Linked DNA regions of Arabidopsis thaliana. The protein of the gene in region 2 interacts with the protein of the main gene of each other region in a pairwise test. Each region holds a gene or a part of one and is shown on either strand. Other genes may lie near its edges.

What was found.
Region 1: the proteins of IAA30 (region 2) and WRKY17 interact in binary tests that used the Arabidopsis thaliana proteins (3 or more experiments, as listed by UniProt).

The regions. Positions count from the first base shown.
Region 1 is NC_003071.7:10,436,156-10,441,929, reverse strand, and holds WRKY17 (WRKY DNA-binding protein 17), read left to right. Parts: upstream 1-2,460; 5' UTR 2,461-2,707; coding exon 2,708-3,366; intron 3,367-3,857; coding exon 3,858-3,986; intron 3,987-4,076; coding exon 4,077-4,254; 3' UTR 4,255-4,577; downstream 4,578-5,774.
Region 2 is NC_003074.8:22,993,098-22,997,730, forward strand, and holds IAA30 (indole-3-acetic acid inducible 30), read left to right. Parts: upstream 1-2,588; 5' UTR 2,589-2,737; coding exon 2,738-3,104; intron 3,105-3,234; coding exon 3,235-3,331; coding exon of another isoform or gene 3,332-3,335; exon of another isoform or gene 3,336-3,441; coding exon 3,442-3,496; 3' UTR 3,497-3,712; downstream 3,713-4,633. Other genes in the region: AT3G62110 (Pectin lyase-like superfamily protein), read right to left, coding at 4,216-4,633. UniProt on the Arabidopsis thaliana protein: Aux/IAA proteins are short-lived transcriptional factors that function as repressors of early auxin response genes at low auxin concentrations.

The DNA of each region.
Region 1 (5,774 bases), on a different chromosome or scaffold from region 2:
AAAAAAAAAAAACAATGGTTGGAAGTTTGAAATACGTAAACAACAAAAAAACAAAAAAAAATAAAACTTCGTTCGTTAGTACCGTATGAATTCATAGATACAACATATACAAAATAAGTATTTTACCCAACATGTGTCTTCTTTCACTGGTTTGATCTCATTCGTTTTGCATGGGCTAACAAAACAATTATTTCAAATACGCGAAGATTATTATTTCTATGCGACCATTTTATAGAAAAGATAATTTAGATAAGATATAAAGGAGACATTTTTAGAGGAGATAACATTGAAATATATAGTATAATATATTTTTAGAGATTCATAAATTATAAATTTAGAAAAGGACATTAAAATTTGATATAGAAAAGGAATTTAAAAGTAAGTAAAAGTTTACAAAATCAGAAATGAAAAAATAAAATGCTTTTAAAAAAAATGTAGACGTGCACGACAATCATATATATTAGTCGGTTAGGTCAACGATTCCCATGTCGCTAATTTATAATGCATTCCGTTGACAAATATTTAAAAATGTTTCAATTATACATCTTGAGGTCTGTTTTTGCACACATAACACGTCATATATCATTGACAAAGAAAACACGTCGTAATTTTCTTTTTCTTTTTCTTTCATGTAGTCTTCTTGGCTTAAAAGAATTCAGCTAAGTAAGTATGGTTGATATTTTCTTCTACAAGTGATAAAACTTTGGAATTTTTGAATAAGTATAATTACAAGAAAACACTGCATATAACAACTACAAGAAAACACTGCATATACCAAAATTATCGAAACATGTATATTCCGACAAACTGAAATCACCGGAAAACGGTGGTGTATTGAAACAAAGAGTTGTTTTAACTGAAGTTTGAAAGTAAACAAAAGATTAAAAAGTAATTTATAGTAATGTTAATATTTACTCATGTTTCTGCTTTGGTGATTAGTAATAAATCTTCTAAAATCTATATGCCATTTTATAAATGCGATTAAAAATTTACCAATTAAACCTTATTTAGAAAAATGTAGAGAAAACTTCAAATTATCTCCTCAAGTAGGATTAGATCGAGCTGCAAATTGGCTCTTTTTATTCATTTAATTTCCTCCATTCCTAACTGTATTGGTATTGTTTACTTTATTTCTATAAGCAACAAAAAAAAAAGAATCTTGTGGACAGGTGACAATTTATGAGTCAGCCAGAATTGCCACGTGTCGGAAGATCAGTTGCCGTGGTAAAAGGTGTTTTTTAGATTCTCAAAAAAAAAGTAGTTAAAGAGAATAATATCAAAGAGTCAACTCCACAGTTCACAGATCCACCGTTGGATCTAACTTTTGGATTATCAACGGCCCAGATAATAGTTAACCGGAATCACTCGGTTACCGAGGTAGTCAATAGTTCTGTGTTTTAAAAAGAAATGCGTCCATGTGATCACTTTTATTTTATTTGTAGTCAGCTTTTGTTTTCCTACTTTGTCGTTTTTCTTTATCGCTGTTCTCAACTAAAGACTTGTAGACTATACTAATAAGATATAGTCAACGATTGTCGCTGTTATTATAGCCTTTAATCTCTATTAATGATTGTTAATTGTTCCACAATCTGTGTAGATTAATTAGGTAAAATTAAAAGTCAAGAAAAGATTGTTTTCAATTTACTAGTTTTCCAGTCAAGACGTTTTCTAGAAGGCTATGAGGTAAGAAAAAAAAAATATATATTAGGTGCAAAGTTAATATGGGAGTCAAATATTATTTTCAAATAATTATTATTGTCAATGCACTGCAAAATTAGTAATAATTCTAGAAAGAAATTGAAATAATAAAAATATGCTGCAAACACGAGTTTGGTATGTGTGCACCATATAATATTGACAAGTTGTAGTGTTGGTTGAAGCTAAAAATAACACAAAAACATAAAAAGAACATGAATAACGCCTAAAACTTAACACGAATAAAATAAAAAAACATAAAATATATTATCAAAAGTCAAAATCACAAAAGAAATTAATACCATTTTACAATTAGCTGAAAATTTATTCTATCAAAATCCAGTCCTATTAAAGAAAAATATGTGATTTGAGATGAAATTAATATTACATATTTTGATTTGGTTCAAGAATAAATTATGGATTTTGGTTAAAGACCTTCTAATATTCCAAAGAAACAAAAAAAAATCAGCCCAATTGTTCATACAAATAAAAACAATTCATTACCTTTAATTTTAAATTTATTGACTTGAACTTGAAGACATAAGATACCTAATAAAAGAAAAAATAGATATGAGACTTTAAAAAAGCTTTATGATTTTCTTTAGACACCATCCTTTAATGTTTTTTATTTGACTTTTTGTTTCTTTGAAATTCCTTTACCACCATTTTCCCCAAATTCAAGTTTACGCACAATGATTCCTTTATTTTAAAGACACGATTATAAATTCTTGCTTTGCACAAAAGAAGACCCTACATATCTCACAACTCAAGGAGACCAAACTTTGATTACTTTATTCCATAGAAATCTTCAACTCAATCTCAGCCGTTAGATCTAAAGCACCGATTTGACTAAACTCCATCTTAAACCTACTCAACCGGTCACTCGGTCACACCCATAACCCCATATATCACGCCAACGCCATTCTTTTTTCTTCCAGTTTCGCTCTCTCATTCATCAAAAAAAACTTGCACATCTTCTCAGATCTTCAAGTTTCTCCTCTGGTTTCTCATCATGACCGTTGATATTATGCGTTTACCTAAGATGGAAGATCAAACGGCTATACAAGAAGCTGCATCACAAGGCTTAAAAAGCATGGAACACTTGATTCGTGTCCTCTCTAACCGTCCCGAAGAACGTAACGTTGATTGCTCTGAGATCACTGATTTCACAGTTTCTAAGTTCAAGAAAGTTATCTCTCTTCTTAACCGTTCCGGTCACGCCCGGTTTAGACGTGGTCCGGTTCATTCCCCTCCTTCCTCCTCCGTTCCTCCACCGGTGAAAGTGACAACTCCGGCTCCCACTCAGATCTCTGCTCCAGCACCGGTTAGCTTCGTTCAGGCAAATCAACAAAGCGTGACGTTAGATTTCACTAGACCGAGCGTTTTTGGCGCTAAAACCAAGAGCTCGGAGGTTGTTGAGTTTGCTAAAGAGAGCTTTAGCGTATCTTCTAACTCTTCTTTCATGTCTTCTGCGATCACCGGTGATGGAAGTGTCTCTAAAGGCTCTTCGATCTTTCTTGCTCCGGCTCCAGCGGTGCCAGTGACTTCCTCCGGGAAACCGCCGCTTTCTGGTCTTCCTTACAGGAAGAGATGCTTTGAACATGACCACTCTGAAGGCTTTTCCGGCAAGATCTCTGGCTCCGGCAACGGCAAGTGCCATTGCAAGAAAAGGTATTGTTATTACTCCACAATAAATTAATCATTTGTTTGACTAGCCTAGTAGTAGTTAATTGTTTGGTTCGATACGGTCTAAACCAATCGCTCACGGACTCAGTGAAAATATATCACGAATTCAGATTTCAAAATTCTTTTTTTGCCTCGAATTTGTCAATCATGAACAAGTCTACTAGTTAAATTAACTAGTCTCAGTAAAAAATAAAGAATAAAAATCCGGGTTTAATACTTTGTAGACCGGTTTGGTACTATCTAAACCAATCGGTCAATGTATTTAGTGAAAGTCAACGACAGTAACTTAAACCAAAGTGCACGCCTGACAAGGACAAGTTAGTGGGTGCTGTCGTTTTGTATAGGGAAAGTTTTTACGTTTTAAAAGTCTTTGTCTGCCCGTTGACTTTTGCTAACCTGATGCATGTTCACGTTAGTCGTGTCAGCGCACGTTAAATCATTTCACTAATTACAATGTTTTATTATTTAATTAACAGCCGAAAAAATCGGATGAAGAGAACCGTGAGAGTACCGGCGGTAAGTGCAAAGATCGCCGATATACCACCAGACGAATATTCATGGAGAAAGTATGGACAAAAACCGATCAAAGGCTCACCACATCCACGGTAACTATCGTACACCATCGCTATCCACCGTTGATTTATTTGTGAAACATTGGAGATCTAACGGTTGTGATTTGTTTTTGTTGATTTCAGGGGTTATTACAAGTGTAGTACATTTAGAGGATGTCCAGCGAGGAAACACGTGGAAAGAGCTTTGGATGATTCAACGATGTTGATTGTGACGTACGAAGGAGAGCACCGTCATCACCAGTCCACGATGCAGGAGCATGTAACTCCTAGCGTGAGTGGTTTGGTGTTTGGTTCGGCTTGAAGAATTAATTAGTTTGGTAGTTTTGTAATATTTTGAGAAATAGAGGGGTTGGTTTTGTAATTTTTTTTCTATAACAAAATTAGTTTTAGATTTTTTTTTAGTAGTCTTTTGAATGGATTTTAATCTTACTACCGAGAAAGAAAAAATTCTTACTACATTTTCATAATTTCTTGTTTGATATATTTAGTGGTGTCATGTAAGAAAATGATGTTTAGCAAAGTAATTGGTATATAAATGTGTAGGCATATGTATTTAATGATATGGTTCGTAAAGTTACCATTACTCTGTTTGATCTAGTTATGATTTGTGATGGTTGATTTAGGGGAAAAATGTCATTTAATCCCCCAACTTTCAAAAAATGGCCATTTTATACATCAATTTCATATGTGGCCGTTTAAAACATGAACTAAACGTTGACTAATTTTTAAAACATGATCTTTCGTTGACCAGGCCAAAATAGACATGCCGTTATCAGTCATTAACGGAACTTCTAACGTCCGTTATCATTCGTTAACTTTATTAGTCAAGTTTCAAATTGTGGCCATTTTAAACATCAACTTCTTATGTGGCTATTTAAAACATGAATTAAACGTTGAATACCATTTAAAACATGAAAAATTCGTTGACCAGGCCAAAATAGACATGTCTTTATCAGTAGAACCTAGAAACCCGTTAATGACTGTTAATCTGTCCAAAATAACGTCGTTCAAGAATAATCGAAAGAACATAAAGATTTTTTCCATATGAAATCTCCATATCAAAAAGTTTTAAGCAGAACCCAAGAACATAGTTTGATAAAGAGATAATCGCAGTGCCAGTAATTGGAAGCAAATAAAGGTGTTTTCGTTTATATATTTGTTTTAAATTTTAAAAGGAATCATGGAAGCAAATTGAAGACTCATTATAAGATTGTTCGTCTTGTTTGAGCGGTTGTAAAAATAGATTTGGGGAAGTAGGGTTTCATTTAGAAAACAATCCTGATTTTCTTTTGATTACTCTCAAAACAAAGTCGTTTTAGGGATACTAATAGAGTCGTTAACAAGTGATAATGAATGTTATAAGTTCTTTTAATGAATGATGACAACATGTTTATTTTGGCTTGGTCAACGAATTTCTCATGTTTTAAATGGTAATCAACGCTTAGTTCATGTTTAAAATGGCCACATATAAAGTCGATGTTTAAAATGACCACAATTTATAACTTGACTAATAAAGTTGTTAACGGATGATAACGGACGTTAGAAGTTCCGTTAATGACTGATAATGGCATGTCTTTTTTGGCCTGGTCAACGAATAATCATGTTTTAAAAGTTAGTCAACTTTTAGTTCATGTTTTAAACGGCCGCATACGAAATTGATGTATAAAATGGCCATTTTTTAAAAGTTAGGGGATTAATTGACATTTTTCCCGTTGATTTAATGGAGGGTTAGACTTTTGGAATGGGGTTGTTAATGCAATGTTTGACTATTATGTAAGTTTATAGAAAGTCAAAAAGAGATTTCAATGAGTTGTTGGGAGA
Region 2 (4,633 bases):
TCGAGTTATCATAATTTATGATAAACATAAAGTAAATTATGAGTAGTATTTTTTTTCTTTCAAAAAGAAGCAAAACTCTCTTACAACTTAATGATTTGTAAAAGGACGAGACATTATCATTAAATCTTGAAACTAAAAAACTATGAGTGCCTTGAAAATCTGAGAATCACTGTTTTTCTTTTGAATTTCATTTCTATGTACATATGGTGAAATCTCAATTCTCCAATTTTCTTTTAGTATTGTTTTTATACTTTCACAAATAGGATTTAATTTACTTAGAATTGACTCTATTTTTTTCTTGTTTTTACTATCTATGTTCGCTTTCCAGAATTTTATACGTTATTCAAAGAAAATACTTGACCAAATACATGTAATAACATATTGGTTATCTAGAAACAAAAGACGAGTACAAGATACAAAAAAAAAAAACAAAGGGGACAAAGAATGGTGTGGAGAAAAAAGTTTGAAGAAGAAAGAAAAAAAAGTGAGGAAATTGTGATGATAATGGTAGGGGTGGTGGGGAACATATCTCTTCTTTATCAGTTTCCCTTTTTTTTTTTCTCTCTCAAAAATCATGTTTGGAGTTTCTTTTGGTTCAAGCTAAATCTTTTTCTCTTCTTCTTTCTAATAGTATCTATTTGTTTCTTCAAACCAAACGATATCTACGCAATACATGTCGGTTATTGTGATAACGACATTGTTTGGATGTTTCGGGTTCAAAAGATTTGTATGAATGTGTATACTATATATGTTTTTGGCTCAATGATAAAGACACTTGATAAGAGATTCAGGATCGTTTCAAATTATTTTAAAAAACTATATATAATATGAAAAACACTTTAATACTTAAGAATACTATTTGTAATCCGTAAAACTTTAAGTTCTAAAACCATTAATTAAAAATAAGAAACAAGTTACGTTGTACATATAAACTAAAAGACGGAATGGAATATGATTTGATTGTAAAAATAACTTTGGACAAAATCTTCCAATTATAAAAGAGAGAACAAAGAGTTCTAATCATATTGATTGGTAGGTCATGAAGAAGCTTAAGGAGTGATTGTAGAAGAGTGGAAGTGGAGGCGACAAAGTGAGGAGACACGTGGAAAAAGGCACGTGACGTGGGGAACGTGAAATGTTGTCGATAGTGTTTACTGTCTCGTGCTTGCAAAACTATATGTATGTTTTGGAGTGTGAGAATTGTGACGTATCCTCAGTCCTTAGTCCATAGGCGAAGCATCTCTCATTAGCTCCTCTCTTTAAGGTTACGCATTCATTACTCATGCTTCCCTTCTCTCATTTTCTTTCTTTTTCTATATTCCCCTCTATTTGTTTCTTCGCTTCTAATTTATTACATGTAACGTACAAAACCAAGAAGCATGCACTTTTTTCTGGTGACCAAAGTTTAATATATCAACCGAATTGACTATACCACATACATGTTTCTATCTAAATCCAATGAATATTACACAAATAGAATCTTGGTGTGCCAACCAAAGAGAAGCATTTATTAAAGTCACTATTTTGAATACTAACGACGGATAAGACTAAGATCACCAATATGATGTGTTTTGGTCTCTGCCATGAAAAGATACAGAAATTCTGATTAAGATTTGTGGGAGATTAGCACCACTTGATTCACTTTGATTGCTACACATAAAAGGTTGGTAAATTGGTTTAGTATTGGAAAAATATAGTAGTGGTTGGACTTGACTATAGATGCTTCATGATAAGATAAATTAAAAGGAACAATCAAATTAGTAGAGGAGTGTAATTACTAACAGCGACGTGGATTAAAATCATGGAAAGCTCAAACTCTTGTCATGCTTAGATACAATGGAGTCCACGTAGACTATTTTCAATATTTTTTGTCATAATTAAAGAACATTATTAGAGAGTTAATGACGTACATGAGACGTGTTTAGCAGTTGATATTCAATTTAAAAAACATTTTGACATACTTTAATGCTAAAACAAAAACATTTTTTTTGCTTAAAGTGTCTCGCGGTTATAAAAAAAACCTTAATTATGGAAGTGTTGTTTGTCGAACCCACGAATGCATCAATGCGCGTCACGATAGTCTCATGCATTGAACTTGATTTTACTAAGACGGATAATGAAGTAAACTATGTATTGTACATTGGTCTACATTTATTTAAGAAAACATGTTCTTATCCGGTTTAGAACTATCTTGTCTACGTTCATATGATTCCTTAAATCTAAGCCTAAACTTTTTAAACTAAATCAGTCACAGTTTCTTATTCATTTATAGTGTTTTAACAAAATAATTCAGTTAATTCTAAAATCCAACCCTAATTATTTTATAAGAAATCAAACAATCTTTTTTCTTTTTTTTTTTGTTAAACGAAAGGTAGTACTAGGAGTCGAGTATATTTACATTGAAACAAACAAAATTTAATTAGAACACACCCAGCAAAAAAATCCGAGCACAAAGTCAAAACCAACACTTTGACCAAGTGTCTGCATGACACGTGTATTTGTCTGCTACATGGACAACATCTTTAACAACACTGTCTCATCATTCCACCATTTTCTTTAATTAAAAAAAAAACATATCAGAAAGACCATTCCAATATTATTACTTCTTCCTTTTAAGCTCTAACAATTAAATAAAAATTTCCATTCTCTATATATAATACACACACGTTCAAATCATTAATCACCTGTTTTAGATAAAATCATAGAGAGAGAGAAATAGTAAAAGAAATAAAAAAAAATGGGAAGAGGGAGAAGCTCATCGTCTTCATCGATAGAGAGCAGCTGCAAAAGCAACCCATTTGGTGTGTCTTCGAGTAATACTCGGAACCTAAGCACGGACCTGAGACTCGGGCTCAGCTTCGGATCATCTTCCGGACAATATTACAACGGTGGAGATAACCATGAATATGATGGAGTCGGTGCGGCAGAGGAAATGATGATCATGGAAGAAGAAGAGCAAAACGAGTGTAATAGTGTCGGAAGCTTCTACGTGAAAGTGAACATGGAAGGAGTTCCTATTGGGAGAAAGATCGATCTTTTATCTCTTAATGGATATCATGATTTGATCACAACTCTCGACTACATGTTCAATGCTTCAATCCTTTGTAAGTATCTACACACACTTAATTACATCTTTGCATGTAGACTTAGTTAATATTTATATTTGTTATACCTCTCTTTGCATGTATATAGTTAAGACCAAAACTAATGGCAATAAAAAAATTGTGAAAATAGGGGCTGAAGAAGAAGATATGTGTAGTGAGAAGAGTCACGTGCTAACGTACGCAGACAAAGAAGGTGACTGGATGATGGTTGGAGATGTTCCTTGGGAGTAAGTTCTTTTTTAATTTTAGTGTATTAAAAATCTCTAGTTAAGTATTTTTTTTGACATAATTATGTAAAAATTCCCTTTAATTAATGGGGACTTAATTGATTATGTAGGATGTTCTTGTCTAGCGTGAGAAGACTAAAGATCTCAAGAGCTTATCACTACTGATTTTCTAAAAGCAAACTTGGAAGAATCTAGGATTGACCAATACAGTCAGTGGTGGTGGGGGAAAAAGTTAGTTTTGTCTGAATGTAAATCACTTGTTCGAGATTTTATTCAAATTTTGTTTCTAGTTTTATTACATTTATAAAAAAATCGGTTGTAACTTGTAATGAAGCTATTTTTTTCAAGAAAAAAAGCTGTAGCTAATGCAGATCCTTTTTGGTTTAGTAGTTATTTTTATGGTTTTAGACATAGATTAGATAATACTAGAAATATGAATTGTTTTGGAACACTGCTGAATTAGGTTCATATTCGTATTCTAGTTTTCACAAAGTTTCAGTTGAGTTACTAGTTTAACCAAATCAAGATCTATTTCATATTTTCATACTATCATTTACTTCTCAATTCAACTATTTTACCGGAATAAACAGTGAAATATAGTTGTTCTAGTTATGGAATCTGAAATTGAAAAATAATTGTCAAAAAATTTCAACAGACTCTGTCGGAGATATTACAATTGTTCCGCTCACCAAAAGCATTAAAGCCCATACAAGGAAAACAAAAACAAAAACTCTTAAGCCACTCTGATTATTTTCCTCACTGCACACAAATTTACACGAAAACAACAAAAGATGAAAGAAAGCATCATTTTTCAAAATCGAAGAGGTTTCTTCAGAATCAAGCAAACTGTGTTTCCCCTTTGATGTTCAAAACTTCACAGTAACTTACCAAGAAAGTAACCATGGTGATCTACTTAAACCACTTGATATCTCCATATTATTTTCCGATAACCCGAAACAATCAGATCCATGTTCCGGGAATATACTCTCTTTCAAAGAATCACAAGTAATTTCCGGCGAAACCCACTGTGAATAACCTCTCACATTCGAGCATTCCCATGGTGATTTCTTCGAATTCTTCTTCACTCTAAGAGTAACATTAAGGAAACATATATTCTTAAACACATCTCCTTCTATACCTTCAAGAAGACCCGCAACACCTATTCCATCGCCATTTACATTCTCAAAGGTGATTTTCTCTATAGCTGGGAGTGCTTTGGGATCGTATTTCTCATCAGGATGTTCACCGTACTTACCGGTGAACCTAATCGCTTTCTTTACATTATCGAGCTTCACGTTCAAG